3 linked regions of the Struthio camelus genome follow. Each later gene encodes a partner of the first gene's protein in a complex. Links are inferred from orthologs where the notes say so. Each region holds a gene or a part of one and is shown in the gene's direction. Other genes may lie near its edges.

What was found.
Region 2: the proteins of F7 (region 1) and POGLUT1 are in contact, whole or in part, in a crystal structure (PDB 5L0S), measured with the Homo sapiens proteins. The link is inferred for Struthio camelus from reciprocal best matches to the Homo sapiens genes F7 and POGLUT1. Residues at the interface, in NP_000122.1 of Homo sapiens: Asp108, Gln109, Cys110, Ala111, Ser112, Ser113, Pro114, Cys115, Gln116, Asn117, Gly118, Gly119, Cys121, Gln126, Ser127, Tyr128, Arg139, Asn140; in NP_689518.1 of Homo sapiens: Met103, Phe104, Pro105, Ser106, Arg107, Arg132, Asp133, Pro171, Ala172, Trp174, Pro178, Thr179, Thr214, Asn239, Gln240, Ala241, Val274.
Region 3: the proteins of F7 (region 1) and F3 are in contact, whole or in part, in a crystal structure (PDB 6R2W), measured with the Homo sapiens proteins. The link is inferred for Struthio camelus from reciprocal best matches to the Homo sapiens genes F7 and F3. Residues at the interface, in NP_000122.1 of Homo sapiens: Leu73, Lys78, Phe91, Arg96, Leu99, Phe100, Ser103, Ser120, Lys122, Gln124, Leu125, Ile129, Cys130, Phe131, Cys132, Leu133, Pro134, Phe136, Glu137, Gly138, Arg139, Lys145, Gln148, Ile150, Val152, Asn153, Glu154; in NP_001984.1 of Homo sapiens: Thr49, Asn50, Lys52, Ile54, Glu56, Trp77, Lys78, Ser79, Lys80, Phe82, Tyr83, Glu88, Asp90, Asp93, Gly141, Gln142, Thr144, Glu162, Arg163, Thr164, Leu165, Arg167, Phe172, Tyr188, Trp190, Lys191, Ser192, Ser194, Ser195, Gly196.

What each region holds. Positions count from the first base shown.
Region 1 is NC_090942.1:156,876,898-156,887,286, reverse strand, and holds the start of F7 (coagulation factor VII), read left to right. Parts: upstream 1-5,729; 5' UTR 5,730-6,233; coding exon 6,234-6,303; intron 6,304-8,568; coding exon 8,569-8,729; intron 8,730-9,302; coding exon 9,303-9,327; intron 9,328-9,411; coding exon 9,412-9,525; intron 9,526-10,389. UniProt on the Homo sapiens protein: Initiates the extrinsic pathway of blood coagulation. Serine protease that circulates in the blood in a zymogen form. Factor VII is converted to factor VIIa by factor Xa, factor XIIa, factor IXa, or thrombin by minor proteolysis.
Region 2 is NC_090942.1:106,512,938-106,524,009, reverse strand, and holds the start of POGLUT1 (protein O-glucosyltransferase 1), read left to right. Parts: upstream 1-7,063; 5' UTR 7,064-7,095; coding exon 7,096-7,177; intron 7,178-8,317; coding exon 8,318-8,408; intron 8,409-11,072. UniProt on the Homo sapiens protein: Dual specificity glycosyltransferase that catalyzes the transfer of glucose and xylose from UDP-glucose and UDP-xylose, respectively, to a serine residue found in the consensus sequence of C-X-S-X-P-C.
Region 3 is NC_090949.1:18,033,751-18,043,750, forward strand, and holds the start of F3 (tissue factor), read left to right. Parts: upstream 1-5,166; 5' UTR 5,167-5,611; coding exon 5,612-5,681; intron 5,682-6,955; coding exon 6,956-7,070; intron 7,071-9,209; coding exon 9,210-9,394; intron 9,395-9,767; coding exon 9,768-9,949; intron 9,950-10,000. UniProt on the Homo sapiens protein: Initiates blood coagulation by forming a complex with circulating factor VII or VIIa. The [TF:VIIa] complex activates factors IX or X by specific limited proteolysis.

The sequences.
Region 1 (10,389 bases):
GGTCTGTTTTTTATTCCTTTCCAGGTGTTTCCCAGCCACTGCACATCAAGCTGATATTTTCAAAGACCCATCTACAGTGGCCCTAAGTTAGAGCCCAGCATTGTGGGCATGCAGTTTTCCCAGCTACTTTCTCATCCGTTCTTTTCAGCTTCATCTGTCATTTTGCTACCTGCTCATTCACTATCACGAGCTTCTTCTGCAACTCTCTGCAGCTGGTTTTAGTTTTGAGTACCCCACAGATTTCGTATCCTCAGAAAACCCTGTCTCTTACTCCAGCTCCAGCCAGTATCCTACCCAAAGGCACTTGCTGCTCTGCTTCTCTCCCTGCTGTCTCCCTGCTCTGTTAAATACTCCAGCTGCTAACAGCCACTTTGCTGGCCTTCACGCACCTATTGGCCACCAGCAGCCAAGGCTGCGTTCCCACCGTCTGTCAGCCGTGGCTGCTTGAACTTGCCCCATTGCCTGGTTCTTGCTCCGGGATCTTTGTTTCCTCCCCTTTCTCCATGCTTCCTCTGCAGATGAGCTCCTTGGCAAGCAGAAACTCAGCTGCCGCTTCTCTACAGGTACTCCAGCTGAATTGATACATGTGGGCTGAGTTTGCCACAGGAGCTAGATTGTTTCTAAGAGCACATATCTAATAATACACTGAAGGAAATGAACAGTACCATTTTCCAAGTTGACTGCTGATTTACTTAATGGCTCTTACTCGTTTAACTGGAGCTGTTGTTCTGCAAGGCCGAAAGGCAAGTCACATAGATAAATGTGTAAACGCCGATGTTCTGCATCCGCCTTACTGCAGCCTTGCCGAGGTGAAGGAGGCTCTGTCGCACGCTGGCCAGGCACCAGAGCAGCTGCTCCTCGCACCAGCCTGGGGCGAGAGACTACGAGGGCTGGCATGCTGGCAAAGTGCTGTGGGAAGATTGGGGGGAACACAGTGGCCAAAGATCACGAGGTGGAAAAGAGAGAGAATACAGAGCTGAAGGGTTATTTTTTGAGGCAGGGCATGGGACTGGTGAGTGTAGTGGTGTGAGGCACACAGGGCACAAAAAGTGTTTTAACAAGAAAAATGCTACGTGTCAGTGATTGAAGTAGCTGCTGTGTAGCTGCTGCCAGGCTGCTGTAAGCCACGCAGCGAGTTCCCATCCTGCTTCCTCGCTAGCACTAGTGCCCTGGCAGCCTTGCAGTGACCAGGTCAAGGAGCAGCTCAATCATCTCCCCCCTTCCCCAGGCAGTTTTCCACCACAGCAGCTCCCAGGACTGATGGGAACCGAGACCAGAATGTGGCCCTGGGGCCAGACAGGCTCTTTAATGCCAGTGCTGTCCCGTAAAGGGCCACCCTCGAAAGGCAGCAGGGGAGCTGCAGGGGGTGCGCAGGGCGATGAGATGTGACATGGGGGGGGGGAGGCTCTTCTGGAGCTGGAGAAATGCTGGTACAGTTGCTTCGTCCTCCAGGACCTCCCTTGGCTGCTCATGCTCTGCTGCATGTGGTTAGCTCAAAATATCAAGTCATACACAAACGGAAAAAAAAACACGACAAAATATTGATGGACTCCAACCATTTTGATAGCTCCAAGGGATATTCACAGGGACGTGTCCTCGGCCAAAGCTACAGTCTTCTTTTTAATATCTTGGGGCAGTGTGTTGTGTAGACAAAGCCTCGGCAAAAAGAAGCACGGTGTATAAAAAAGCAGGCTAGAAGACAAATTGGCAATGTTTCCTTCTCCAGCGCAACAGAAGGATCCCTCAGGTTGTCTAATCGAGAGGCCGAGTTGTGGCCAGAGCCCCAGAGCAGCCAGGGGAAAGGCAAACCAGGAGGAATGCTCCCCAGCTGCTCTGCGGCTCAGAGCCCTTTGGACACAGGCAATGCTGCCCCATGGAAATTCAGTCCCTACAGCAGCAGGAGACCTACATAAAAGAAAAGCTGAGGTGTGACAAGGTGTTTGCTAGGCTTCTTTGCAGCTCGCTACCAGTACCACCAGCAGCCTACAGATGGTGGTAGAAAATCAAGGCTAAAGATTTGTGTTTCTGTTCTGAAGGACTTTAACCAAGATTAGCTGGTTTGGTGCTGAAATACTGTCTTTGACAAATCAGTTGAAGTGAATCAATGAATCATTTTTCAGGTTTTTATATTTATTCATTTCATATAAACTGACAAGGCAGCAAGGTCCTCACCTGCATTCAAAAGACTACATATTTACTAGTGGTAATGTTGTGGCTGCGTCTCAGGAAATAGTCAAGAAAAGGTCTGTATGTATTAGAACTAGTATTTCTTATTACCAACTACAACAGGAGGCATTAAACAGACAAACTTTGGGGGCACGCTGCCTTTATTTCAAATGTATTTTGCTCTGCCTTGTCTATGTTTTTTGTTTCCTTTGTTATCAGGGTATCTGCAGATATTCTCTGGCAGCAAAAGAAGAGGAAAAAAAGATTAAAAAATAGAAAAAAGTTTTAAACATTTATATTCAGAGATGATCATAAAAAAATGCACAAAAATATCCTCTCCCCATCTTCTACTCTCACTTTGTGAGGATAATTGCTGAATAGGGATACAGAACTCAGTAAAACAGACATGTGGAGTAATCTTCTCCTAGCAATGAATATTTCTCTTTTGAAGTCTAAAAAGCAAATCATTTATTTCAAGGTTTAGTAATATATATTTTTAATTAGTATCACAGAAATAGGAAATGATTGATTTGATCACAGGTTTAGTTTGTGGACAAAGAAGGTAAGCTCTTCTTAATTCATCACATAAATGAATGATGGCAGGTTACTCTTGTTATTGGAGATTTAGGTTAGGCTATTGGAGATTTAGGCTGACTTTTCCATTAATTCATGAGGCAACTTCTTCCTAACTTTTCTTACCTAGACTCAGTCATGTCAGTCTACTCGAACAATCTCTTATGGTCTCTCTGAAATAGAACTCATTGAATAGTTTTCTAAATTGTTACTGAGAACTGACCAGAAAAGTCGCATTTAAATAACCAGTGACCTGGTAAAGCAGATCAAGTTGCAGTGTTCCCAGAAGCTTTCATATCTGTCTTATCTTCAACCTAAAATATCAAACTAAAAATAGCAAAACTGTAAGTTTTTCTTTGAAAATGTCAGTATGAAACAAAAAAAGAACAAAGAACAGTATGTTCTGAGACACCAGTTCATCATGTCTTCCAGGCTAATGTTTCTGCTTTTAGACTTTTTTTTTCACTTTGTTAACATTTTTGATGTTTATTTGCTTAATCTCCACTTGGAAATAAAGCAATTTTGACACATCCAAAAAAGCATATGCTACAAAGCACCCTAAGTCATAGTTCCGGAACAGCTGACACTAGGTTGATTCTAGTAGTACCCATGAACAGAAAGGGTGTTTGTTTGTTTTAATATATTTTCACTTTTAGTTGGACGGTAGATTATTTTTCTTGGACTTGCTTAGAAAATGTAAGCCAGGACTGAAGCCTCCAGCATCAAGGAGATTCATAGCACAGAATACCAAGGTAATTCTCATGTACTACAGCAAGACCGCACTCACGCACATACACGCACGCACAATCAATGGGAGATTTAGGGATCCTCTGGGGAAGAAAAGCTAACAAACTTAAGTTTGGCCCCCAAACTGGGGTCTAAGACAAAAAGGGAGGTGAGCTCTTCTTTAAGTAACACGACTCTAACCAAAGAACTGGCCCTCTGAAGTTAGCAGGAAACAGTTTTGAAAAGAGAACTGTGAATATTGTTAGTTAATGTTACTGTGAATGTAACTGAGAGAAGAGCTGACGTTCTGGGACTGCTGAATTTCCAGTGACTCCCCTCATGGGCTTGGTCACCTTTGTCATCCCTAATGAAATCTAATCATATGAATTTTTCTTGGAAGAAAGACTGTCGCCATATGACCTGAACGCTGACTGTTGTTCCCAGCACTTGGGCTTCCCCCTAGGCTCTAAAAATAATTCAAAAGTGGTTTTCTATATTCCCAAGCAGCAAAAGCAAAATCTTTCAGGCTTAAGCAGTGCCAAAAGAGGAAGAAGGAAGGACAATATTGTACCAGCCATAAAGGATGCACAGAACCTGCCAACTATGAAGAAAGAAGACACAAAAGTGAAGCGGTGCCAGAGGTGTGTTGACGCCGCTGTGGAGTGGGAGCCACTCCAGTCTCTCCAGCAGTGCACTGGCAGATATCCACCCATGCCTTTCTGGGAATCTGGCATAAAGATTTAGCCACTGATCTAAAAGTGGTATTGAAAAATGTTCTAGGTGCTCCACAGTGATAATGTCTAACTTTGAAGCTTTTTCTGCACGTGCCATCATTTCCAGCAGGGCTAGTTAAAGGAGCAGCCTAAGAAAATGCTGCTACGAGTGGCAATCGGTACAAAAGGCAGGGTGGCATCAAGTGCGAGAAGCACGGCCTTGCACTCTGATTTGCACGACTGGTAGGTAGAGGCTTGCTCATATACACAGAGGAGATATCTTTCCCCGAGAAGAGCAGACAAAAAGAAAAGTTTTCAAGCAGCTCCGACAAACTTAGCTTAGCTCTTTGTAAGCTGAATATGTACTTACTATTTTACATTAATGGCTGCAGGCAAGGGAATATATCTTCAGCTTTTCGAGTAAATGTATCTTTAGTTTTTCCTTCTGCCCCAGTGCAGGCACATGTCCAGTCCCATTTTTTTCCTCCCTTCCTCTCTTTTGCCTAGACACAAAGCTCTTCCCTGCCTGGCAATAAGAGCCAGTGCACTCCCCACGGCACTGCTGCCGCCATGATCTCCACATGCTCCTCTCCTTGTCTGCTCTTTCCTTCTCTTCCTTTACCCACCAGCCCACATTCCTAGCAAACAGAGAGGTCTCCGAGAGGTCTTTTAGCCTGTGTTTTCCTTCCTTCAGTGATTTTCTCTTCTCTGACCCCCATGGTGGCTGGAGCTGGATGCAGAGGGGAATGAGGACCATGTCGTCGAGCTATGAGGTGTGGAGGCCATTCCCCAAAAGCAGAGGTGAGGACCGCTATGGGCTGCTGTAGCTCCTTTTGTATTCTAGTAACCGGCTTCCTTCCTCTGCCCTGGGACAGGACCTGCCACCAGTCCCCAAAATCCCAGGAACTGAGCTGCTGGGAATGAGCCAGGCTGCGATCCAGGGAAGTGCCCGAATGCCCCCTCTTGGGAAACAGATTTCAAAGCAGGATGTCCAGCTGTGCGCACTGCCGCTAAATAACAGGAACACATGCAAAGAACGGCTGGGACCCTAGCTTTCCTAATCAATCATGACTTCTGCAGGAAGTTAAGCTGAGCGTTGGCCTCAAAGTAAAAAAAACAGCTGTTGCTTTCTTGGCTCTAATGTTCATGTGCAAGAATGACCCTCCTTCCTTTACACTTACAAAGTGGAGAACTGCCTGGAAAATACTCCAGCCCTTAGGGAATGCCTCACTTCTCATAGGCAAACATGCTCTTTACCTCTCTGTTATCTTAAGTAAATATTTACTTAAGAGTGTTGTCAGCTCTCTAGTCTCATGCCGTTAATTGATTTCTATTCAATCAGAGGACTGCTTAGTTTCCAGATAAAATATTGTCTGCAGATTGGCCCCTCAGACCCCTACTATTATTAATTACATATAGTGTGTATTGGGTTCAGCACCTCTTCCAGCTGGTAGAACTCGTGCAAGCTCTGTGGGTCCTGCAGCAAAAACAGAGCAAAGCAGTGCAGGGTATTTCTTGCTGGTTAATTAGTGTCTCCAAGTAAATTCAGCCAGTAGTTCAGAGTTTCAGCTGGTGAAATGGGAAAAGACAGATGTCAATAGTTTGACCACTCTGCAAAGCAAAGAAAGGCTATGCATTCAGTGCCAATTCAAGCTAAAGATTAGTGTCTTCATTTCTCTGCTCTCTGCTTCTCTGGCACTGTAGCCAAGTTAGTGCCATTCAGACAGATGCAGAGTCCTTGGAATTTATATTGCTCATCAAATATCATGTTAGATAGTAAATAAAGGCCCACAACAGAAGACTTTGTAATCAGCATAGACTTTGCACAGGTCAGAAGAGAATGCTTCAAAACCAAGCCCTTTGCTGGTGTGGAAAGGACTCATTGCAGGACTTGCATGCGCACTTCTCTCTGCTGTCATCACTGTAATGGACCTTTTCCTGTTGTAATGACTTGCCAGCCCCTCCTCTAGCGCGAAGCGTCTGAAGCTGAGCTCTCTGGCTAAACAGTCCTTGCTGAAATGTCAATACATTACTGGGACACTTGCAGGGGTCATCATGGTTTCCAGGCTGTACACAGCTTTGTTTCTCTGCTTCCCGCTCCTGATTCCTCTTTCTCTGGATGCAGGTATGTGATAGGATATGGCTCTAATTATGATTATTGGCAGTGGACCTCTCTTCCATTTTTGAGGTGAAATTCTTATTGTAAGTTTTGAGCACTCTTCAGTAAAGAGTATACGCAAATGTTTGCCCAGCCTCTCATTGTGCCTGTGAGTTAAAGGCTCTTGTTTGCTTTCAGTGATGGCATCCATGTGATTATTTTGTCGAGTGGGGAAAATCGCTTCTACACGCATATGTGAATCTAGTCTCTCACTGCACAGACAGCAGGTAAACCATCAGCTGTCTGCCCACTAGGTGAAAATAGGGATTTGGATCTATTGCTATTTTATGGTCACCTGTTTTACGGAATTTTTCAAAGCAGAGATTTAACAGTCTGTCGTTCAGCTGATGAGAAACTAGAGGGGTGAAGCTCCACTATGTTTCCACAGTAGTAGAATGAAGTGAGATATTAGCTTTTCAGTAGCATCAGTATATGTCTGAAAATAACCTCCCAGATTAAGAGAGGGGACCAAGTGCTTTAAGATGCCCAGTTAGCCATTGACAAGGCCTCTTGAATTGCAGTAGACAAAGCTGAAAAAAAAAATCACAGAAAAGTCTATAATGTTCCAGTGCAAATAAGTGGAGAATACAGAAATAAAGGTGGGAGGAGGTCACAAGCCATGCACATATGCAAATCCCCCCGTTAGGGTCCATGCAGGCACACTGATGCATATGTAATGTATTTGCAGCGTAAGGTCAATTACAATCCTTTAAAGAAAGCCAAATTAAAAGCTTACAACCTGACAAAAATCAACAGCAACATTCCTACAATAGACAAATTCTTATGAAGCATCCTGTGACAAATTAGATGCACCACACAACAAGTTATTCCTTCAAATAACTTCATAATACAGGGAAAACTACTACTGTTTTTGTATGTAATTCAGCAAATGTTCTGATTAGAGATTAACGAGTAGAAACAAAGTCACCAGACCGGAGTAAATCCTCTCAGGGTTTATTTTTGTGTGTATTTATGTGAGGATAGATATGAGTGTCCATATCCACATGCACCCCCGATTTTTTATCTTGTCCTTCAGAGACCACCTCAAAGCCTTTCCAGGAGGTAGGAGGTAATTACCTCTCTTTCAGGGGTCACATAGTGGAGAATGTCCTGGGGGAAAGGCAAGGGCATCATCCTTAATCCTCAAATCTACCCACAATCCCAGGTGAAATAGTTGCAAGTGCTGAGATATAAACTGTTGTCAGTAAGCTTCAGAACTGCCTAGTGACACGGAGGAACACACTGCAAAATTAATCACTTCAAGACTCATGCAGTGTAGTGCATGGAGCAAAAATACACTGCAGCACTGGGTCTTACTGTTTATTATCCTGAATTATACCAGGAGGGCATAGTTGGTGGTATGATTATATCCTGAAGCTTAGGAGGAGGTCAGCATGGTGAGTCAATGCTATCAGGTCTTTAAATGCACATTTACATTCGTTGGAAGCTGAAGTAGCTCTGTGAAGTGAACTCTGATGACATCTGCCATACAACTTGTGTTCCCAATGTCCTTTCGAAGTACGGTAGAGACTCACAGGGATAAGACCCCTGTGGCTGTGGTCTACGGTGCTAGCAGCAGTTAGGAGCCCTATGCAGGCTCCACTAGGCAACACAAAGGGCATTGTCCAGCCTTTCTATGTACCATGATGTAGTCTTTTTTTCAGAAGAAAAGTAAAGATAACTATATTAAAGCAGTGCTTCTCAAACTGTGGCCTACTAGCGGCCTGAAAAATCCCTTCTGCAGGTCCAAAGAGTGAAAGGTTTGGAGCTAAAACCAGTGATGAATGGAGCACTGGGGAGTTAGGGTTGACTGTGGTACATCTGGCACCAAGTGACTTACTGTAGTGAGTACAGGAGAATGAGCTGTCACCACATCTGTCAGCACTAGATGAAATGACATGCGCTGTTCAGCTGCTAGAATCGAAAGAAACTCTGTCCTGTCTACCTACTATATAATGTGTGCCAATACTTTGTGTACTGCTGACACGTAACACTTCTCTTAAGCTCTGGGCTCTGCAAAATCCACGTGCTGTCACTTTACCTGGGAGGCACGTCAGAGAAAGGAGGTGGTGGCTCTGAAAGGTTGCGCAAATTTGCTCACTATGTCTAATTCTAAGACTTCTCATAAAAAGCCTGGAAAGCAGAAAAGCTTTCAGAAGAAACCTTTCATGCTGTCCATCCTTTCTGGACACCGAGGATGTATGGCAAACAGAACATGCCATTGTTTTTCAGTCTTTTTAAAGCAGGAAGAGGCAACCAGTCTTTTGCAAAGGCAAAGAAGAGCCAATAGCTTCTTTGAAGAGATAAAACTGGGGTCACTAGAGCGAGAATGCATGGAAGAAAAGTGTTCGTTTGAGGAAGCAAGAGAAATTTACCACGACGATGAAAGGACAGTAAGTAACACAGTGCTGGGTAAGCGCTCGCAGTCAGAGGGACTTTAGGTGGAAATTCCCCATTATTCAAGGGTATACTTTTAAGTGTTCTTTGACACTTGAAACCATGAAAGCAAAAAAAACGCTCTGTGTCCTGCTGTTTGGATCTTTGTCTTAGGTACCTAGGGGGGCACACTGCAGCAGTGTGAAGGGCGTACGACATGGACCACATCAGGCAGTACCAATTTGGGGGATGGTGGGAAAGGAGAGTCTAAGTCATCTTCCTGCCCCCCCACTGCAATAATTCCAGGCCTGAAAATACCTTAAATACTTGTATTATGCCATAAGTTTGTTTTCACCTTAACCATAGGGAGATTATTAAGGGGAACCTACTTGTGCATATTACACAGTGCTTGTCTCTCTTGGTAGAGGAAAATGAGGTAGAATATTTTATGGACATCCCATTTAATAAATTATAAAGGCAAAAAGGGGCAGCACTGTGGCTGTCTGTAATGCGTCCTCTGTTACAAGGGCTGTCGGATTTAATCTGAATTATTTTTTTCTTTAATACAATTTTGCATCTTTTTCTTCCAGACAGAATTCTGGCACATCTATTCTGGTATGAGAATTCCACATGTTATAAAAATGCTCCCGCTGCTGCAATTCTTCATGTGATCTGGACTAACGCTGAACGTTTTTACAGACCCTAACCAGTGTGACTCCAATCCCTGTCAGAACGGTGGGAGTTGTGATGATCAGCTTCAGGATTATGTTTGCCGTTGTCCCAAGGAATATGAGGGCAAAAACTGTGAAAAAGGTCAGCTATGGCATAGCTTAACGAAGTAAAAATGTCATTATTAATTCACATGCAAGTCATTGGGATAAGCAGTAGCAAACATTGATAATCTGTATCATTCTAGCATTGACAGCTGCCATTAACACTGTCTGCAGTGTTTTATGATGGATCTAACCAGCTGACAGTCAGGCACTGTATAGCAGCAAAATAATTGCTACCTTATGGGGATCCTGTAAAAAATTGGACTTTTGTGAACCACCAGAGAGAGAAGGAGGATTGCTCTTCCTATCCAAATTTCCAAGGGTGGGAAGTTACTTGACTATGCTGCATAAGCCATCATACAAAGTCAGAGGGGACAGAGAATGTCTAGTGTCTAATTAGTGTCTAATACAGTCATTATAATTCTTTTCATTGATTTCAATGGGTGCTGTATATTGACTGTTAAGTTGGCCATCAACTTAATCCTTGTTGGGGAGCCCAAACAAGGATTAGGCACCTGTCAACTCAAACCAGGCAGTCTCAGAGCTCTGACTGCTCGTTACCTGTCGTGTGCCACCTATAACGTAAGCCAAGCTGCCATCTCTGCCCTTGTATCTTCTCGCAGTCTCCTCATACTGCTCAGCTGATCACGTCTGCCTTCTCTACCACCTACCAGTCTCCTAGGCGTTTTTCATGCTCGCCATCACTAGAGCAGAATGTGTGAGCCTCCTCTCTTTTTACAAATAACTTCTGAAAACACAGTTATGCATGTGGGTATCTCTGCTGCAGGGACTACACCACACTTTCCCTTCTACTGTTTCTACTTCCGCCTCTAGGGCATGAGCGGCTCCTAGCAGTGCGTAAGTAATTATTATAAAGCATCCATGCACACCTAGCCATTCAGGT
Region 2 (11,072 bases), about 50 Mb from region 1:
AAGACTACCACAATTACAGCTCAAGGCTTCAATGATTTAACAACTTGAATGAATTAAGTGCTATGAAGTCACAAACATCTAGGAATTCTCTCGTGACGGTCTTCAAAAAACAAAGTAGCTGGGACAAGTGACATTGGTAATGACAAGTGCTGTGCTGTTCAGGAACTAGAGCCCTCTGAACACCCAGAACATGTCATTTGTTTTCAATTTAATTAGTATGTAAGCATTCCCATACTCCACACTGTTCAGGAATTACTTTGGGCCAAGAACCTGAAGAGCTTTGCATTATTCTCTGTCTGAGGTGTAGCTGATCAGGGTTGGTTGTTCACATGAACTTCTGCACAACTAGCACCTCCTGTGAAAAATGTACAGGTCCCTAGAGCTTCCCTGGGAAGCCACGTTTAGCTACACCCTTAGAGCCAACAATGTCAACTATATGCAAGCTGTCTGCTCTAATAAATGTTGTCTCAGACATCCTGTGCTGTCACCTGTGTCCTCTGAAAAGCCCTTCCCATGGTTACTTAGCAGAAAGTCTATTAGTTCCAGCTGTGTGTCTGTCTAGGGTACAGCCGCCTCAACCTGCTGTAGCTATCACCTGAGACCTTCACAGTGAAAGGCAGAAATTTGTGCTTTTTCTGTCTGCCCTTCAGGATTTGGAAGATATCTTTTTTCCACAGCATGCACTGTCTACAGCAACCACTTCACATGATCATAAAGCCACCACAGAGCACAGCTTGGCAGTAATTGTTGTTTCTTAGTGTTGCTACGCATATATATCATTTGTGAAACACTGCCAATCCTAGATTCCAAAAAATCATACTTAGTTTTTGTTCACCTTTTTCTGTTTACTTACGTTGGCAAACCCCCACAGGTTATGATACCCGTTTCTGCTAGCACAGACAACGATCTACTGCATCTGAGCAGTGCTGAAAGTGTAACAGACTGGCACTGCCCCCCTTCTGGCACTGTTCTGACACCACTTTCCACCAGCACGCAAGGTATAGGCAATGGGGCTAACTGCGATACAGCTAACTGTCTGTGCCAGCTAAAGTGTGGCACACTGACGAGCATTACTTCGTGTATATCAAATTCATTGTCAGTAGATGCAAGACCTGAACCTTATAACGTTATAGTATTTTCCAATAAAGGCACCAGAGGAATATGAAAATGGCAGCATAGGGCTCCTTCATCAAGCCAGTGTAAACCTAAGTTACCCTTGTTCTAGAGGGTCAGTGTTTTCCACCAGCACACACTCTTCCCTTTAACATCGCTTGTATTTCTTTCTGACTATTGAGGGAGGCAGAGATGTCTCACGTTGCCTTCAGACTCTAAATGACTTTCCGCATCTTTAAACTATTTTCCTGCAACACTTCAAGGATCAGTTTTCTTCGTGCCTCGAAGAAGTGGTATCTAAATAGCTTTAAACTGAAACAGGGACAGAATAAGCTGTGCAAATCATTTTCTACTAGAGCCTTAATTACATCCTGCAGTGTCTCATCCTCAGCAAACCACCAGCAATAAAAGTCTGCATTTCATTTGAGAGTTGGGTTTTTTGTTTTGTTTTCCCCAATTGACATATACATAATCTAGCCTGGGACTTTGTTCCACTGCATTTTTGTCAAAGGCACTAGAGAGTGTGCCTGCAACTACTAAATCTTTCTCAGGTTCACATTCAATTTGCAAGTTATACAACTGTAGCTAAAGAAACAGACATTCTATTTGCAGGAAGGTGTTTGCCAGCTCCCCACTGGCTACGGCAGTAAGTGATTTATAATCAGTTTTAGTTAATATGGCCTCTCAAACAGATTTTAAAAAGTCTTTGCAGCCATGGCCTAAGGCCAAGACTTTTTCTATAGGAATATATTCAATTTTAGCTTATGTTGGTGCCTATGGTGCAACTGCAGAGGGAAATGGCTACAGTACTGAACACATCCTCTTGATGAGCCTAAGGACCTGATACTTCCTGAATGTGCCAGCTCCCCCCATGCTCCACCATTACAAATCTCTCCTTACACTGGGGTTTGTGCAGGGGTATTGGTGGCTTTTTTTCCCCCTTAATTCATCTTTTTGTGCTAAACCAAAGTCCTAAATTTTCTGATCTTCTCAAAGAACAGTGGATGTTGCCTGTTCCCTCGTTGGCAATACTAATATGAAGACTTGAATTATTACTCCTGACTCCATCTTTGTATGCATACTAATAAATCCCAGTTTGCACTAAAAAGGCGTCCCCCTTCCTTCTGTGGGCTGCTACACTGTGTTCCTATTACAAAGAATTCTTTGCAAGTCACTGCTGTCATGAGCACAGCCACCCCCTGGCACATACAAATTCCTCAAAGGATGAAACCACTGCAGTTCTTGCATCTTCTCTCAAGCTCTCAGAGGTGCATGCTGAAGGAACACAAATCAGCTACAAGTCCTCAGATTTGGACCTTCAGGTTTGAGCTACAGGTCCTTTGCTCCATTTTTCCCTTGGATCCTCTACTGTTCCCACTGCCAGAGCCCTGCTCATCTTCAAATCCTCGCAATCAACTGGATGACTTCCTTCACTGGGAAGTCTCAGATGGGGCTTCATCAAGAGTCAACTCTGCATGCTCCTGGACTTGTTTTCTCTCAGTCCATTAATTCTGCAAGCTCTACAGAACGGCAAGATTGGATTTCTAGTGTTAGTTCATGACCCTACCTCTTTCTGGGTGTCATTCTGGTACTCCAAATCACTTCTCATGTAGCACTGTTGTTGCTCTAACAGTCTCAATTAGCCTCCTTTGCTTAAAATAACTGAATATTCAATACCAAATACCCCGAGCCAGGTACTGCAGATGTGGCCACTTTCCTGAACTTACTAGCCACAGTCCATCGCCTCCGCAGCGCTGAGAGTTACAGGACACAAATCTCACAGCCCAAAGGGAAGAGAAGCTCCATGTTTATAAACAGAAATAGTCTTGTCTCTCTAGAAGCAATGCAGCTTCTTATGGGACCGGGCACACCCCCAAGAAGCCCTGGTAATGACAGCCAAGTTTTGAACCTCAGCAGCCTGTATAGCTTCCTTCCTCCCTTGCACAGCTGGGCTTTGAGACTACTGTCTGCACCAGCCTAGCCCCACAGATGATCAAGCATGAAAACTATGAAAAGCTACACACTGGCTGCCTCACAACTACTGAAAGCTTTATTTACAGTGCCTGGATATTTCCCTTCTTGCTAGCACTTTTTTTTATCTGCACCTAAACCTTCCTAGTTCTCCATATTTCTGAAGAACTTGAGTGCAGGTAGGGCAGTCATCCTTCACTCAGGATATTGTCCTAGTCCATATTCCGTATAATCAGAGTGCCAGGCATTAAACAAAACTCTGCTTTGTTTGATATCTGCATGCTAACTGCTTGCAAGATACAGCATAGACCAATATATAATAGAGCCAGTTCCAATGTGCTCTTACAGCACACCATCTTGATAACGCAGGAGGAAAGAGGAAGGTAGATTCAAAAAGTCCACACTGAAAAAGAAGCAAGAGGGGGCAATGATGGAACTTGTCTCAACCAATGAGCTATGGAGCCTGGTAAAACTGTGCCATCCCAAAAGCACTTGGAGAGAAGAGAATGGGACTTAAGAAAAAAATCACCATCAAGTTCAGAAAATTCAGGACTTCCTTTGTGTGTTTAGCACCAGAGGGTGGCTTAAGGGAGGAAAAAGCTCACCAGCCCCCCCTCACAAGCAGACAGTAGCAACTAGCAGAAAAGCTAGACTATAGCTTTGAGAGAAACTCAAGATCTAGAAAGTAAAACACTTTTTTTAGCTCAGTCTTATAAGCAGCTTAGAGAACCAAACCCTTTCCCAAGCACCCTCCTTCTAACCTACGTTGGATATGTAAAGCAAGGACACCAGACTTGCAGCCAAGTGATTTTCCACTCTAGGCAGATGGAACACGATGAAAGTCAGTTTGTGGGTGTTTGTGCTTGATTTGGCAGGAAAAAACATGAGAAGGACAGTGTTTGAGGGAAGGTATCAAAGATCAGAGCCAGATGCTCCTTCACAGAGCTCTGGATTTGCAGGAAATTAAACAGGTAGAGAAGGTGAGGCAAAGGGTGTGTTTGAAGTGAGAGTCAAGGGGCTCGAAGCTTACAGCCATCCAAGATGCTTGGGGGAAGCTACAGCACATTCCAAAACCACACCACAGTGGCCTGGGGTGCTTTCATTATACAAAGCCTGGGAGAGCAAAGGCTGTAAATGCAGCTTCAAAAGGAGCTTCATCTTAAAGTCTTAGCTCTCAGGCTCTATTAAACATTTATGCTAACTACCACTCCTACTCTTTGCCTCAGAGAAAGCACCCAAAATAACCTTTGCTACTGAGCAAACTACTACAGTTCTGCTGACTGTGTAAACGGACTAGCATGGAAGCTGTGAGAAACAACCAGAAACAGTGTTGGACAGCACACTGATGTGTCTATTTGGTGAGCAGGGAAAGAGCAGGAAAATCTGGTCTGGAACTTGAAGGGGAAGACAGAAAATAGTACCAGAAATAATGGGTGGATTAGATTTGTAGAAACAGGTAGGGCTGAGCGAGACCATTGGAGGCAAGCAAACATATCCAACATATCAGCCGTTTCTGCTTGATCCTACCTTAAGGTTCATACTTTTGGCAGAGTCTTCAGACGAGCCTCCGGTTTTGAGCCCATTACTACTAGAACTGTAGAAGCGACAGCAGAAGATGAAGAAACTGGATCCTGAGTAGAAAGCAAAAAGACGACAGAGGGATTCTAGCAGAAGTTGGAAAGGGATTAATTTCCTGATTTGCTGAAACATTCTTTGGCCATGCAACACAAGTTTAGGATGGAAATGTGAGACAGAAATACTCCAGATTTTCACTGTAGGAAGCTGTTACTACTAGTAGCAGACAACTATACCCACAACACATTCACTTACTCACATAGTTCACTCAGTTACCCAGCTGGAGCAACAGCTGAGTGGCCACCCCAGCTGTATGTATACTCAGTAGTGGGTAGCGCTGACACATTAGCAGCTTTTAGGTAGGTGTTGGGAAAGTCCCTCAAACTCATTTATTTCAAGAGATGCATATATAATCATGTAGTCTTTGTTTGCATACAGAAACCCCTGCCCTCTAATCACACAGCCCACTGTTGACACTAGCGTTTGCTTGTGGCCTTGCACAGATTCAGCAGATACTTGGTGCCCTAAGTTATCAAGCTTTTGCAGATTCAGCAGAACTACTAATGCCCAGAACTTACCAGTCTTCAGAAAACTTTCATACTTTCTCAGCATATACTTTTCCTCTTTGGCCTGTTTTCTGGTAACAGTTTCTCCACCCAAACCTACAGATACCTATAGAATCCATTCAGTCTCACACAAGAGGCCTTTGTGACAAATTTCATTGGTGGTTTGTGTGGCTAATCCTTCAGCCTTCCTGCTACATACAGGTGCAAACTTGGTGTAAAGCCTGCAAACAGGCTGCCTCCTATTAGTGAGCAACCACTGAGCCTCCTCTTAGGATCCGAAATGCCTTAACATGGATCTGGGCTAGGAAAGATGAAGGTTTGGTGTTCGCATTTGAACACGCAGACCCCAGGAAGAGGGATGGTCCATCCCAGACTCAACCTAGGGAGAAAATGTTGATCAAATGATCTGGATTTATGTGCCAGATAGAATAGTGCCTGCATAGCCCCTGCCCCTCTTACCTACCTTACTTGGCTGCTGATCAGTATGGCTATTACATCCAGGGCTTTGTTAATGAGCCTGTCTCCTGAAGACAGGCTGAGCTGACCCAAACATTAACTGTATTCTTAGAAATCATTTTGGAAGGAGACGGTCCTACACATATTACATTGATGGCTTTTGCAACGCTGATATCGCCAATTCTCAGTTCTAGTATTTCTTTCCCCCCTGCCCAAAGCCCACATTCCTGAAGTTGCAGGAAAGTTTACACAAGTGAACCTGAACTTTTACACCATAAGATTCATGACTTAATCCCAAGTGATTAAATTGAGTCAGGCCTTGGTAGTAGCAAGCAAGATGGTGGATTCTTGCTTTTGGGTACCTCTCTGCAACTCTTGTAGGCAGGCTAACACACACCGAGGAAAGAAGGCAAATTTTACTCTTTGGTCAAAATAAGCCTGGAAGTACCAGACAATGGGTGCTAGTAAAGATGGCTGACAAAACACTCTCCCCAGACCTGATCTGTGGTAAAACCCACCTCCATGCTCTTCAGTTGAGAGGTTCCTCCCCCAATCTTCCCCTCAAGTAGAGATAAGAGAAGGAGCCTTTTGCTTACACTTTGGAAGAAGCGTTTTTGGATGATTTCGGGTGTCCAGGGCAGTTCCAAAAAGCTCCCAAATCCACCGAGGGCTGCTAGATACATAGCAACCATATACAGCTCAGGAATTTCCCAAGCTGAAAATGGCTAAAGCTAGGAGAGTCTTTAGAGGAAGTGTCAGAAATACATGCTCTGCTCTTCTCTAGGCATCTCTTTTTTTGGCTCTTTCTTTCAGCACTCAGCTCCCAACTACTGTAAATAACAGTCGAGTTTCCCACAGGCGGGGCAGTCGCAGGTGTCGGCACAGCCGCTCTGCAATGGATAACCTCCCCCTGGGGAAACCACTGTCCTGGTCACAGTCTCCCTGCCAGGTCCCCAGTGCTCATGCCTTTATTTCAGGACGTTAAAAAAAATAGTAGTTTCGCAGCTCGACTTCTCCCAGAAAAAGCCCCGTGGGGGCTACACCGAGGGCAGCGCAGCTGGCGATGGCACAGCAGACGAAGCCCAGAGGGGCCCCACGCCCCACCACAGCCACCCTGCGGGGCTGGCCGGCCGGCCGGCCGCAGCGCCCCGCTGCCACGGCCCGGCTTTGCGTGGGCGCTCCGGGGACGGGCTGCCCCCGGCAGGAGCCCCCCCGACACCAGCCCCGCGGGGCAAAGGGGCCGCGCCGCCGCAGGAACTACAGCTCCCACGAGCCCCTGCGGCATGCTTCGCGCCCCCCCCGGCCACGGCAGCGCCGCCATCTTTGTGCGGGGCGGCCGCCATCTTTGGTTGGGGCGCGCCGCCCACCGCGGCGGCGGGACGCGCAGGCGCAGGGCGGTGCTGGCGGCGGCGGCATGGGGCGGGCGGCGGTGGCCCTGTGGGCGCTGGCGGCGGCTGCCGTGTGGCGGCCGGTGGCCGCGGCGGGCGGCCCGGCAGGTGAGCGAGCGGCGGGGGACGCCTCGGGGGCCCCGCGCGTCTCCCGAATACGCTGCTGCTGGGGTGGGGGAGCGGCCGCCGGCCTTTAGCCGTTAACCGTTAGCCTAACGGCGCGGTCCCCCCGGGGGGAGGGAGCCGGCGGGGCTCAGGGCCCGCCCTACCCCCGTCTCTTACCTCTCTACCTCAGCCGCCTGTGCCGACGACCCTCGCCCTTCCCTGCCTCCCTCCCGCCGCTCGCCGGGGCTGAGGCGCCCCCTCTCCGGCCCCGGGCAGCCTCCCGGCCCCTACCCCGCCGTGGGGGGAGAGGCTGCCTGCGCCAGGTTCCCTTTTATAGCGAGGCTGCCCCCAGGGTGCCAGGGTGCGGTGCTCGGTGCGCTGCCCCATCGCCGGCCGAGCCCGCACCCGTCAGCTGGGTGGCCCCAACTGGGTGCAGCCGGGCTGGTATCCTCGCGTGTGGCGGCTTCTTCCCTCCGTGTGCTTTGAGGGACTGCGGCTAACCTTAACTAGGGTTAAGGATATCACTTCCGGAGACGATTCTGTGCCCTTTGTTAACACTGGTAGAACTAGCAAGGTATGTGTGCCCCTCACAGGTGCGTAGCTGAGGAAGGAAAGCAAAAGAGTCTGACCGTTGATCTCTGTGAGCTGGAAGAATTAGAATTTGCCTTACTCTCTGCCTTTATTTCCTTCTTCTGGAGAGAAAATCACGTATAACATACGAGGGGGGATGTGCACCAATTCCTTATAATTACAGAGACGAATGCAGCTAAGCCACTTTAATAGTCATAGGTGTCTAATGCTTATTCCGGGAGTTGAGTTTGGTTTTGCAGTCTGGACTCAGCAAAAGAAAGAATCACTGACACCTAATTGAGGATTGTGTCGGTGGAGCAGTCAGGGTTTGAATGGCTGAATGAGTGAGTAGAGGTTCAGCTTCTTCCCATCTCTTGAGGTGGACAGAGCACGTTCTGTGTCAGGCACGCTCTAGTTCAGCTGCATGGAAAGTACTGAAGTGTGCTGTGGGATCATGGTGCATTGCGATTGCCGTGATATCAGCTGGACCAGAAATCCTGTTCAGCTCCCAGTAGTTGCTCTCGGAGTTTAATGGATAAATTCCTTTGACCTTTCTTTTCCTGTATATTTTAGATGCCAAATGGAAAACAATAACTGACCAAATTAACAAAGCTTTGGAGGTCTATAAGCCATGTGTGAAGGAGAATTGCAGCTGTCACCAAAGGTGAGAAACTGGTTTCCTTTTCCTGGACAGGCCCCTGCCCCTGAGAGGGAATACTCATTCTGGCACTGATGGGTGGGAATTAGCTATGGAATATTTGGGCTCTAAAGTGTCACACCTGCAGCCATCATAGGTCACAGTGCTTAGGAGGAGGAGGTTATTAATGGTACTGTGTGAAACGGTTTGGCTTCCAGCTTTCCAAGAGAAGGTGTGTCCGTGCGCAAACAGATCACTGTTCTTGTTGTCCAACTGAACAACGCAAACTGTGTCAGCGTCTTACATATGATCACACAATACACCCGTCCACGCAGCTGGTGATATTTCTGTGTTAATGATCCTCTTCTGCCTTCTCTCTCCATGGGATGTTGCTAACAAGTCTTTCTCTTGAGCTTTTAGAAGTGAAAGAGATCAGGAACATGCAAAATATTTTAAAATAACCAGATTAAGAAGGATTGTTAGCGAACACAGATTCCTTTGGTCTGATATTGTGCTGTTCCCTGGTACTTTGCGTGCTGCCTGTGTCAGGACAGGGCTTCCAGTGGAAGAAGGGAGGAGAGAATTGGAGGAACACTGTTTGGAGAGAGTTTAAATCACTGCCTGTGAGAATTGGAGAGGCAGTGGATATTTAACTACCTGACTTTCACACGAGCAAAGCATGATCCAGGAGGAGCTCGTTCAGGAGCTTCTACTGCCTATTTGTAATTGCGGAGCATTATGCGGAGTGCTAGCACTTTAAATGTCGGCCTGATCTTCCCATAGTGAATTTAATGGAGAGAGCTAGGACCTTTCGTATGTGAATGCAAGACGTTTGCAGGTAGTACAAGGGTAGGCTAAGCTGCCTTGTAGACCTAGCCAGACCAAACTTCACATCTGTTTCTACTGACTGAGCATGACTTCAGTATGGAGAACTTACATTACAGATGCCTAAGCCATAACTGCTGTGTGGGTAGGGGCTGTAGGACTGGTTTTTGTTTTTTGGGGGGTTTTTTTGCTTTTTTTATTTTTATATATATATATATATATATATACATACACACACACACACCCCTCTAAGCAGCTTTTTTTATTTAAAGGGGGAGACGGAGTACAGGAAAGAGTCGAAATCCTAATTCTTCTGTCTTTGGGATCAGGTTTCCAAACACAGATGCCCAGCTTTAATAAGTCTCCTATTTAAAAAAGTATCAGCTGTATCATTTATTTTAGGGATGAGATTGGGTGCTATATTGGCTTTTAATATCAAGTGAGTCTTATTAGGCAGCTGTCTGTACACTGTGTTTGGAGCTTTTGATCTTCACTGAAATACTGGTGAGGAAAAGTCTCTTTCAGTTTAGTCTTCCAGTCTTTTTGCTCAGTTCCAATTCTGATATAACTTGAAGATATCTCCTCAGCTTTAAACATATATGCTGTCATCTCCTGCCCACCTTTGGAGGTTGTAACCATCTGGGAAGGGGTTGTACCCAAACTTGCTTCAGAACATGATAATTGATAGTAACAGGAAGTTACAGTTGCTGTGGGCTCCAAACCTAGTGTAGTTCATTTAAGGGTTGTATTCTGTAGTGACAGGCATTATAAAAGAAGCAAGAAAAATTATATAGCATGTACACTGTGTAACACTAAAACTCAGTTAATTTTGTTAGCTGATTTGGAGATCTTTAAATGTGCTGCAGAACACTGAAAGCCGTACTTTTCCACATGTAGTAGATTCTACTTGTGTCTGGTTTTGTGCCAGTCAGTGGCCAACGACTGAAGGTCCGAACTTGTTAGTGACGACTGGAAGGTAGTGACCTAGATTAACGCGACATGGTTGTGCCATGAAGCTCTCTTGCTTTCCTCCTGTTTTCAAGCACATTACGTTTCCATCCTTGCCCGACAGCTCTTCCTGTGGATGGCCCATCTGTTATGCAGCAATTTTTTAAAGTAGTTTTACAATTTTATACCTGATAAATCTGTGTAGTGTTGTATTAAACCAAGGCTTCAATGCCAAAAAGTAGGGAGGAATTCTCCATGGCTCTTTTAATCTGTCAGTTTTCATAACTGTTCCAAGCAATTAGATCTGAGCACCTTTAGACTAAATTTACATAAACTGCATCCTCCTTCTCCTGTCTTTCATTACATTAGGTTTAGGTTAGGTTTGGTTTATATTTTCATATTAGGTTTATGTTTTCATACCTCATTCCTGGAGCTCACTGGTGATGTACAGATGTCACAGAGCATACTCTCCTTAGGCCTGGTCTTCTGGACTGGCTTTCACTGCACACAGCATGATTGGAGGATGCTGCTTTTTGGGACTAGACTCTTGACTTCTTTTTTATGGTCTATAAATACCATACAATACCATATAAATGGTATTGTATGAGGATTTTGGTCCTGATGTGGCCTGGCATTCCTGGAAGGCCAGAGCTCAAGCTGCAGGACTCAAAGGTTGTGAGCTGAAGACTTTTACTCATAACATGCCAGGGTGTGTACTTCTGGGGCAGTAACTGGAGTGTCTGTGTTAATTTAGCTTCAGAGTCCTGTATTGGGCTTTCTGTTCAGGCAAATGGCGCATAGATCATCAGAGAGCAAAGCTAGGACCTTTGTGTCTCTGAGTAACAGCTGTTTTGGGTGAGTTAAATCAAATCCTCTATTATGCCGCATGTAGCAGAGCTCCTGGAAGCTACACTGAGC
Region 3 (10,000 bases), on another chromosome or scaffold:
TGCCACCAATAATGTGCAAACCTCCTTTTAAACAGGTTCTGTTTTTACTTAATATTTATGTTGCATTTTTCTCAATTTAGTCACTTGATATTCAGAAAACAGCCCCAAAATAAATTTCAGGGGAAAAAGTTGAGTTTTTTTGACCAGTGCATAAAGAACACGTACTGGTTTATGAGGAAGAACATTAAACCTCATTCTGATCTACTTATATTAAAATAAAATAGGAGTACCTCTACTGACGTCAGCAGAGATTAAATTTACAAAACAAGCTAGCTGGGATTAGGACCACTAACTTTACCAAAGAGTGTCTCTTCCTGTCACACACAAGCATAGGAAGAAAACATAAGTAAACAAGATCTGGTATTTGCACTAGTGCCTGTCATCATTTGGAAAAAAATGTTTATGATGGATGTTCCAAAGAACTGCAAGATTAACTCATGTTATTAAGACATTCTCAGGTAACGGAATTACTCTAAGAGGCTACTCCATTGTTGTGGTGGAAGATCTGGTACAAAGAGGGGACTGACAGCATTACAGTGTCAAACATACATGGAACATTACAACAGTTTGTTTAGGTTAACCAAGACCATCTAGGCACAGAAGAAATTGATACAATTTAGGATTTCTCTCTATAACCATAGTTTTTGCTACACTTTGATGACATTTATTACTAGTTGGTATTACTTGCCCACTAGCTAGGGAGTGTCACTCATCCCATTGATGTGGAGACTTCAGGAATAAGTACTACTTCTCCTCTTAGATATGAGGGTTGATTCTTCACTCCTTTACACTAATTTAATGACATTGCTTTCCATGAGAGATAGTAAAATTACACTGATTCTATTTCAGTACATAAAAAAGGGGACTAGGTACCAAATTTTACAGTGTTACACCAAACTCCCCAATTATAAATACTGCTATACACACTTTGTCAATACAGCCATTTTTAGATAAGCTCTAAATCTATAATGTCTGTAATTTCTTTAACTTTTCCGGCTTGCTGTTCAGTGATGTGCCAACAACCTACCATTCATGTTACAATTACAGACAATCAGAAAATGCAGTTGTTCAGCAGTTATAAAAATTGGTCAGTAATAATCAGAGTGCACAGTGGAATTTTTCAGAGACAGGTTTAACTTTTGACCGCTACATGTAACTAACCAACTCACAGGTTAGTTCTCATACCCACCCTCCATGCTTTGGTGCAGAACATTAGTGCACATCCATTACTCAGCTTTCTGAAAATTTATGTAAGTATCTAAATATTGAATTTTCTATAGTTTTCCTTTATCTTCACTAGAGAATTTCAACAGATAGAAGTTTTTCTTTGCTTAATAAAAAAAGGAAGCATAATCCTGTGATTATGGTACAAGACTGTGGTATAAAAACAATACCTCATACATTCCGGACTTCACCACAGACTTTCAGTAAGTCCACAGAAAAGTTGGGTCCTCCCTACATACAAAATGGGTATAATACAACTCACAGGATATAATAAATCTGCATTAATTAAGAATTTTAAGGCACTTACATGCAAAGGCAGAAAGTATTGATGCAACTTGCACATACTGCAAGACTTTTGAAGGGCCTTTTCCTTTTAGCAAGTTAGTTGGAACTGAAAAAAACAGAAAAAACAAGACCTATGCCAGGGACACACAGTGCTATTGAATTTCACAGCCTATTTACTGACACTACATACAGGTACGTTATACCTGACAAAACTATTTAGTTACCAAATATATTAATTATAGTACTGATCACAAACAATGTTTAAAAGGCAGTGGTGTTTTGTGTATTTATATATGCCTTTATATCACTGTGTTTGATGCAACATACTTGCAAGAGAGATGTTAAGACATTTCTGGAAGCAGGCATCAAGCAGAGATTGCTCCCTAACCTCTTATTTTATCTACTTAATGCAATTAATTGCATATGATAAGTTCTTACCCAATAATATGGCTCACTGAGATACATTAAAAACCAAGAGATGTGAAAGGCAGACCAAAAGGAGTGAATATCATGAGCAATTTCATTTTGGAAAAAGCTCTTGGAGATTTCAGACATTACTCACATGAGTAAAATTTACACTACTGGGCATGGCAATATTTCTGACTTGAATGCTAGCATGGAATGATGGATGTTCGATAACACTACAAAATTTCAAAACATTAGCAAGCGTTATAAAATTTTACTTAAAATATTGCATAACTATGAGCATAAGGAACCTGATCTGTAACTCATGTTATTTGAGGCACTCCACTTCTGTGTCAACAACTATGTATGACAGTACAGAAAGCTTATGAGGAAATTGCTTAGCTATCTCTAAGCTAACCAGTTTAGCAGACCTGGCAGATCATATGATACACACAAAAATATGCATCTCTCCAAAACAGAGGGGTTTCACAGGTTTAGTTTCCCTTCTCTCCTCACCTTTCCCATAATCATTATGTGGATTAAAAGGGCCTTGATAAACATTATATAATGACCAATAACCCATCTGCAGGTTGGTTCAATGGTATACATATTAAAGAATGAGAATCTGCAGAGCCTGCTCCTCATCTGGGAAACTTTCCCCATGGTGAATAACCTTGATTCCAGTGTGAACTTGCCAGAGGTGAACATAGAGGGCGAAAGGTCATCTCCCTACCCCAGGGCATGCAGCCAAGCTTGCGCTCCCGCATTTGTTTGTTTACTGCATATTCAGAAAACGTACAGTAAGAGCCTGGGTTCCATCAATGGAAATCTCCCATTTTTTTCAGTATGTAAATAGATTAATATGATTTGCTTTAGATGTCTATACTAGGAAAATATGCATTTCACTTTCGGAATGAAATTTTCCTCTGCTGACTGTAAAATGAGCAGAGGATGACTAAATCAGTTATAGACATGTACACATCTACATCTTGACATTTCACCATAGAAGTCAAATTCCGAATTTCTAGAAAAATTGCAAGAGCTCTTAAGTCAGCAAAATGCTTGCCTGCATCTAGCAAAATATCTTTAAAATAGTGGGAAATTTTTCTGTCCTAAATGTGCTATTGAAATACCATTGAAGTGGACAGGAAATGTGACCTAGAAGGTTACAGTGAGATCACCTAGTTGCTGAGCAGAGACTCTAGGCCCTGACAGGCAGCAGACCATGTCAGGCAAGGCCAGGTTGCTCTACCCCTACTGGTGCCTGGGGTCAGGCAGCGCTGTGCAAATCATCCTTTGGTCAAATCTGCGCCAAGACTTGGTGAAAGAGGAGAAGAAAGAGCAGAGGTGGCAGCAGCAGCAGCTGTTCCTCACCTCAGTGCTTTCCTCCTTTGTCACTCGCTCTTTTCCCTCCCAACCTCTAGCCTCCCTGTCCCCTTGGCATCCTGTATCTCCCCCCTACCCCAGCTTTCAAATTTTCCCTTCGACTTCCTTCTCTCAGTATGACTAGCTTGGTAAAGTTACGCTATTGCCCCCAACCACACGATTCCCTGCCTCCTGCTGATCCATGCACATCCTTCTGCTCAGGCCCTGCTTCCCACTGCTCTGGTAAACCGATGGCCTCCTTCCCTCATGCCACAGCACGGAACAGCACATCTGAAAGCCTGATGTTAGCGAATACCAGACTATCTTGCTGGAATTTGGAATAAAGTAACACTGGTCAAGCTGGTTAATCTGGGTAGAGTCTGGAAGGTTCCCAGCCAGCGAACCTCTCAGACATGAGAGGGCATGACGGAGGAAATAGGAGTGAGGAAAATAGAATAAGAAGGGGTCAATGAGACCATCTCCAAAAAAACTAGGAACCACAGCTGACCTGCTTTCCATCCTTTATGACTGCAGATAAATTTAACTGGAATTAGAGCTTAAAGGTGATTTAAAATACTATATAAATGCCTCTTCTTTAAACAAATGAGTATCTTTTCTCCTTGTAAAGTCCTCTGGGAATCTGTGATTGTATGAGATCACAATCTTGAAAATCTAGTCACACAAGATAATCATCCCATACAAAGTTAAAAGCACGTGAGTTTTTTGACTGATGTAATGCTGACATACAGCTGCATAGAGGTAGCACTAAAATTTGAAAAAAAACAAGGCAGAACAATCAGAAGGTGTATGGTGGCTGGGTTTCAATGAAGGTAAGCTGATAATTTAAAATTCTGGGTTTAGATGCACCTAGAGACATACTATATGAATTCCAGTGCAGACTCCAGTTGAAACTGTAGTTTGGTCCATAGATAATTTATGTTACATTATGAGGCAGAACTGATTGTATCTAAGTATGTAGCAAGCATGAAAATTAAAAGGCAGTTAAATATGAAACTTCCCCATTACTCTTCTCCTCCTACCTATATCTTTCAAGTATGAGACACTGTAAAGATCAGCTTCAAAATAAAGAGAAAACTCAACTTAACACTACAAAAAGTATCTATCCTCTTTCATTTTTTTAATAGGTTCTACTATGTAGCATGTTTCCACCTTCCCTGTAGAAGACTCAGGAGCCAAGAGTGGAACATAGCTCCCTCTACAGCTTGAGTATTCGATGAAAACACAGCAAGCAAACCCCCACCTCTGAAAACCGCGTTTAAGTGCTTAATCCAGCCTCAGACAGCTGGTATCAGGGGAAAGAGCAACATATATACAAGAGAGGACAGGGAGCACGTGGCAAAGGCTGCAGGCTGAGATTTGAAAAACCTGCTGTCGGAGACAGAGCCTGTTACCTGTGCGAATGACACACATTTCCAATGTTAGTTTATAAGAAAATGGTTAACAGGTCCTTGATTTATGGGGAAGATGAAGTACAAATCTCTGAACGCTTGGAGGTTATTTGCTGTCTGGTAGTACAAGGGAACCTCGACAGGGTTCGCATACACGTGCATAGGGAGTGAGAGAACCAAGGATTTGAGCTGGCTGAACGGTCATATCCGATGGCTCATGTGGTGAGATAGGAACTGACATACATATCTAACCCTCCAGAACTCACAGAGTCTAAGTTAATTAACCAGACATCACTTCCCCAGGATCACCTGCCCTCCAGAGCCATCATTTCCAAGCAGGGGCCGTGGTAACACCAAGAGGTGTTAATCTCTTGCCCTTGACAGCCAGCCAAAGCTGTGTAGTGGTTGAAGCTGGTCCTTGAGTGCTGCCCGCTTTCACCAGTAGTTCAGCCTACGGCCAAGGGAGGGTGAATGAGGTGTGGTACAAGTGTATGGCGACACTGAGAAGGCAGGAGAGCATTCTAGGCACTGCAGGCGCATCCGAGTGGACGCTGGTACTGGGCACCGTGCCGGCGTGACAGTGGCAGGACTGGAGGCGACCTCTCCCTGTGCTCCTGCCGGGGACCTGCCGCCCCTTCCCTCGGGGCTCCTCTCGTTACAGGAAGGCCAGCTTCCCCGCACATCCCCTCTTCTCCGCTTGCTCAACGCGGCTACGTCGGAGCACTTCCGCCAGGCCCGCTCTCTTTCCCCGTAACCCCGTCCGAGCCTCCTCCGCTCCCACCGCCCGTCTCGCCGCGGCGCCCGCGGGCGAGGCGCCCGCAATCCCCGCCTCTCCGCCCGCTCATATAAGGCAGCGCCTCCCGCCCCGTCGGCAGCTCACCGCGATCAACTTTGCCGCGCTTCGCCGACCCGCTCCGCCGAGGATGCTGCGCGCCCCCGCCGCAGGCCGGGTTCTGCTGCTGTGCGCCCTGCTGGGGCGCCTGGCCGCCGCCGGTGGGTAACGGAGGGGGGCCGCGGCCCGGGGGCGCCGCGGGCGAGGGCAGCGCCCGGGCAGAGCCGCGCCGGCGGAGGGGCCGGGGGCGACGGCTCCGGCGCGCGCGGGCTGTGCCGCGCGGGGGGTGTCTGCGGCTCCGGCGCGCGCGGGCTGTGCCGCGCGGGGGGTGTCTGCGGCTCCGGCGCGCGCGGGCTGTGCCGCGCGGGGGGTGTCTGCGGCTCCGGCGCGCGCGGGCTGTGCCGCGCGGGGGGTGTCTGCGGCTCCGGCGCGCGCGGGCTGTGCCGCGCGGGGGGAGGTCAGAGGCTCCGGCGCGCGCGGGCTGTGCCGCGCGGGGGGTCTGCGCAGGGTAACGGCTCCTGCCGGGGGACCCCGGCTCTCCACCGGTTATGCTTCAGCACCCGAGTGGCGGTGGAGCGCTTGGGTCACTAAAGGTTGGGATTTTTTTCTTTTTTTTTTTTATTTCTTCTTCTTCTTTTTTTTTTTTTCCTGAAGAGGCTCCTTTATTTTCATAGCTGGGGAGGCGTTGGGGGCAAAGAAGGGGCATTTCATAGGTCGGTTGCTGAACACCAGTAATAGGGAGTAAATTGCTCCATTTCTTTTGTCTCCAGTTTCCAGCTTGTAGAAGGAGCAGAGAAGGCTGTATTTAGAAAATAATTAGGATATCACCAAGGGAAATCCTTAATGTTCAGAGGCCGCAGACGCTGTGGCCCTTCCCTGCGGTGTGGGGTTTTCCCCTGTGGTTCTTCCCTCGCAGTTCCCAGAGCGCGTGTCGCCAGAGCCACCGCTGCGGGCGTGCAGGGTGCCTCTGCCTTTCTTCCCCTTTGCCCAGGCTACAACTAAATTCTGTGGTAGCCCTTCTCAGATATAAGCGTGTAGGGCAACTACTGGGTTTTTTAAGAATTTATCTTCCTAAAATAAATAGGGAAACTAGCAGTTAATGGTTTCTACAAGTAGGAATGAATTTGAACTATACTCCATTTGTTTTAGTGCTTTGACATTCCCATGAATATCTTCAAGCTTTTGTAGCATCTTAAAAGGTCTTGTATCAAAAAGTAGAAAGAAGCATTAGGCAGAACTCCACTCATGTTTCATATTTCTCACTTTTGCCAGGATTTAGTAAGACAAGCATGAGCCCGGAGGGCAGGACCAACCCTTTTCCCCAAGACCTTCAAGCAGCAATTAGCAACAACAGCTTCTTTTAAGTGAACGGCAAATGCAGGGGGCCGGGAGTTGCATATAGTGTGACTAATGGTGCTCTTTTCTATATTTAAAGGCAGTAAAGATCTACCAACAGCAGTTAATATAACTTGGTCTTCGATCAACTTTAAAACAATACTACGGTGGCAACCAAAACCATCTAATTATTCCTACACAGTAGAAATACATGGGTAAGTAGATAACATCAAAGTTGTGTACGTTAATGACAATTGAAGAAGATGCAGATAGTGAGTGTCTGAATATTTTTGAGAGTGAGCATAACAGGAAAATAGCCCAAAAATGAGGATTTTGGGAAAACTGCCTACCCAATAGTTATACCTTCTTCATACCCAACTGTAGGAATATCTGATTCATGATTCTGGTTTCATCCACTTCAGAAATGGGTAGTTCAGCTTTAGATCAGTATTTCAGTTCTGGGGTTCGGTGCAGGCCAACTGGGCGGGAGATCTGGGCCAGGGTACATTGAGGCAGTTGACTTTAGACCATGCAACATATACTTGATAGAACGTCACCTTTTTATGTCTTTCAAGCTGTCTGGATGGGGTCTTTGTTCTTTCTTTAATCTTGGGAGGTGTCTGATAAATGAGTCTGAATTTTATACTAATCAGTGAATCACCATCAATGAAATGCTGGGTAATACTAAAAATGACCTTTGTTTGTCTAGCTCTATCAAAGCATTGTCTGTTGTCATGATTATAGAGGTTATAAAATACTGCAGACCATAAAAAACAGCCAGCCTATATGAAGTGTCTAACATTTCTTTTAAAACTTCAGTGAAGTTCAGTAATAAATCTGTGCGGTACTTAGCTCACCTATTAATTCACAGACCATTATTAAACATGCCCTGAAGAGAAACTGCATCAACTCTCCTACACAGTAATGAAAACATGGTACTGTAGCCACTTTTGTCTATAAAAGTTGTCTACAAATGAGAGTTCTCTCATGACTAATAAATGAATGTGCAACGGTCCAATGCCCTCTTTTACCCTTTATTCTGAAAAGAGTGATTAAATGAATAGACTTTAAAGCACATGCTTGAGCAGAATGGCACAACATAGCTTAAGAGCTTGATCCTACAAAAAGGTTTCTCATGGGCACAGAACCTTATCCAGCAGTCTGCCAAGTGAACTGCTTGTGAACCTGGAGTTTCTTTCCTGCTGTTTGTGCTTGCAAAAAAATGAAGCCTGTTTGCCCAAAATTCAGTATAGAATCAGGTACAGTTCTGATACTGAGGAACTTCTTTAGACAGGATTGTCTTAAGTACATTTCAATTTGTGCTTTCTGATATATATGTACATTTAAAAGAGTATGTTTGTTTTGTTATAAACATCAAATCTCTTCTGTCCCTTCTCAAAGCATCCGCAGACCACTGAAACTCACAGATTTGTTACATCATATGAAATCTGGTGAAGCAGGAAGGGAGTTCAGGCAACTCTTGAATAAAACTCTTGCTTGCCAGACCTTAACCTACTTTGAGGAAAATTTGTTTGTTAACTTCCAAACACTCAACACTCTTGATCTTTCATCTGAGTTCACTAAATCTTTTTTTGTTCTTAGTTCACCAGCAAAGACTGGGAAAAGAACTGAAGCAGTAATATCAGATCTACTTTTCTATTTCCATTTATTAGGAAGCAAAGTGGGGTGCTAACATTTTTTTTCCAAGTGTAGTTATTATTTCTCAAGTAAATGACCCTGCCCTTTATCATTTAAAAATCAAGAGAAGTCCATGAGTCACGTTTTTTATTTTTTGTATTGCTTTTTATTCTCAGTAACATTTATATCTACACAGATACGAATACAAGTGAAATATGAGGAGTCGTTGTCATTAGATTAAACAATTAACATTCATGTGAGCAGAGCTACCTAGGATAACTGACGTTTCTTTAGGCAATAGTTTTCGTATGCATCATTGATCAAGGATAAAACTGTCAAAGTGATTTATGTATCTAAGTTCCCTTATATTTTTATTGTAAGTCAACTTCAGAAAAAGCCAAAGCCAAAATCCAAACTACTGATGGCTTTCTATCATTTTTAATTCATACATGTCTCCAATAACGTCTTCTTTATATAATGCATAGTGTGACTCATATTTGATTCACTTGCTTCCAATTTAAACTTGAAATATACTTGTTACAGGGTAGTGTTTTTGGGTTTTTACCTTATCTATTTCAGACTAGTACACCTATAAGAATGTTGCACTGAGTGAGGGAAATCTGTATACTTTGAGGAGGGGGAATAGTATTTTAACGTATATGAATAGTTTTTTTTAAATCTGCTTAGAAAGTGTTGACACTTCTTACTCTTTTCAGACAGACATCTAATACACAAAAAAAATGTATTCTGACAGCAGAAACAGAGTGTGATGTTACTGATGTGCTCAGGAATGTAAGAGAGACCTATACAGCACATATACTGTCTGTAACATCCTCGAGGATGGATAACTTTGAAGAACCACCTTTTGCAGTCTCTGAAAAATTCACTCCTTATAATCAGAGTAAGTAGGATTGCCAATTTAATTTTATCATAAGCTTTATCTCAAGAAGATTTTCATTGATTTAAACAAGGTTTGGATTGGGCCTAAAGATTTTTTCTATAGGTTCTTATAGTAGCACTACTAGTATCTAAGAATAAGATCTACAAGCATGACACTTTTCCCATTGCAGGGGACTGCATTGCAGGGGACTGCATCATTTGTCCTCTCACGTCTAGATAAAAATATTTGTTAATAATCTTTCATTTCACTGTACTACTTTGACTCTGCAAACTTATAATAGAGGAGGGAAGGGGAGTGGAGGGAAGAAGAGAAAAAAATATATTGTATAGAAAAGATGATGCCAGTTTTTTAATTTTTAAAAATCCTTTTCTAGCTATTCTTGGAAAACCAGAGATCCAGAATTATACACAAAAAGATTCCAAATTGAACATTGTGTTCAAAGATCCACTTACACCATATACATTTTCCAATGGAAGCTTTAAAAGTATTCGAGATATTTTCAAACATGACCTGGAATATAAACTCTATTACTGGAAAGACCAAAGTTCTGGAAAGGTAAGCTCTTGCTCTACTTTTCACATATTCTGTAGCTATACTATAGCTATG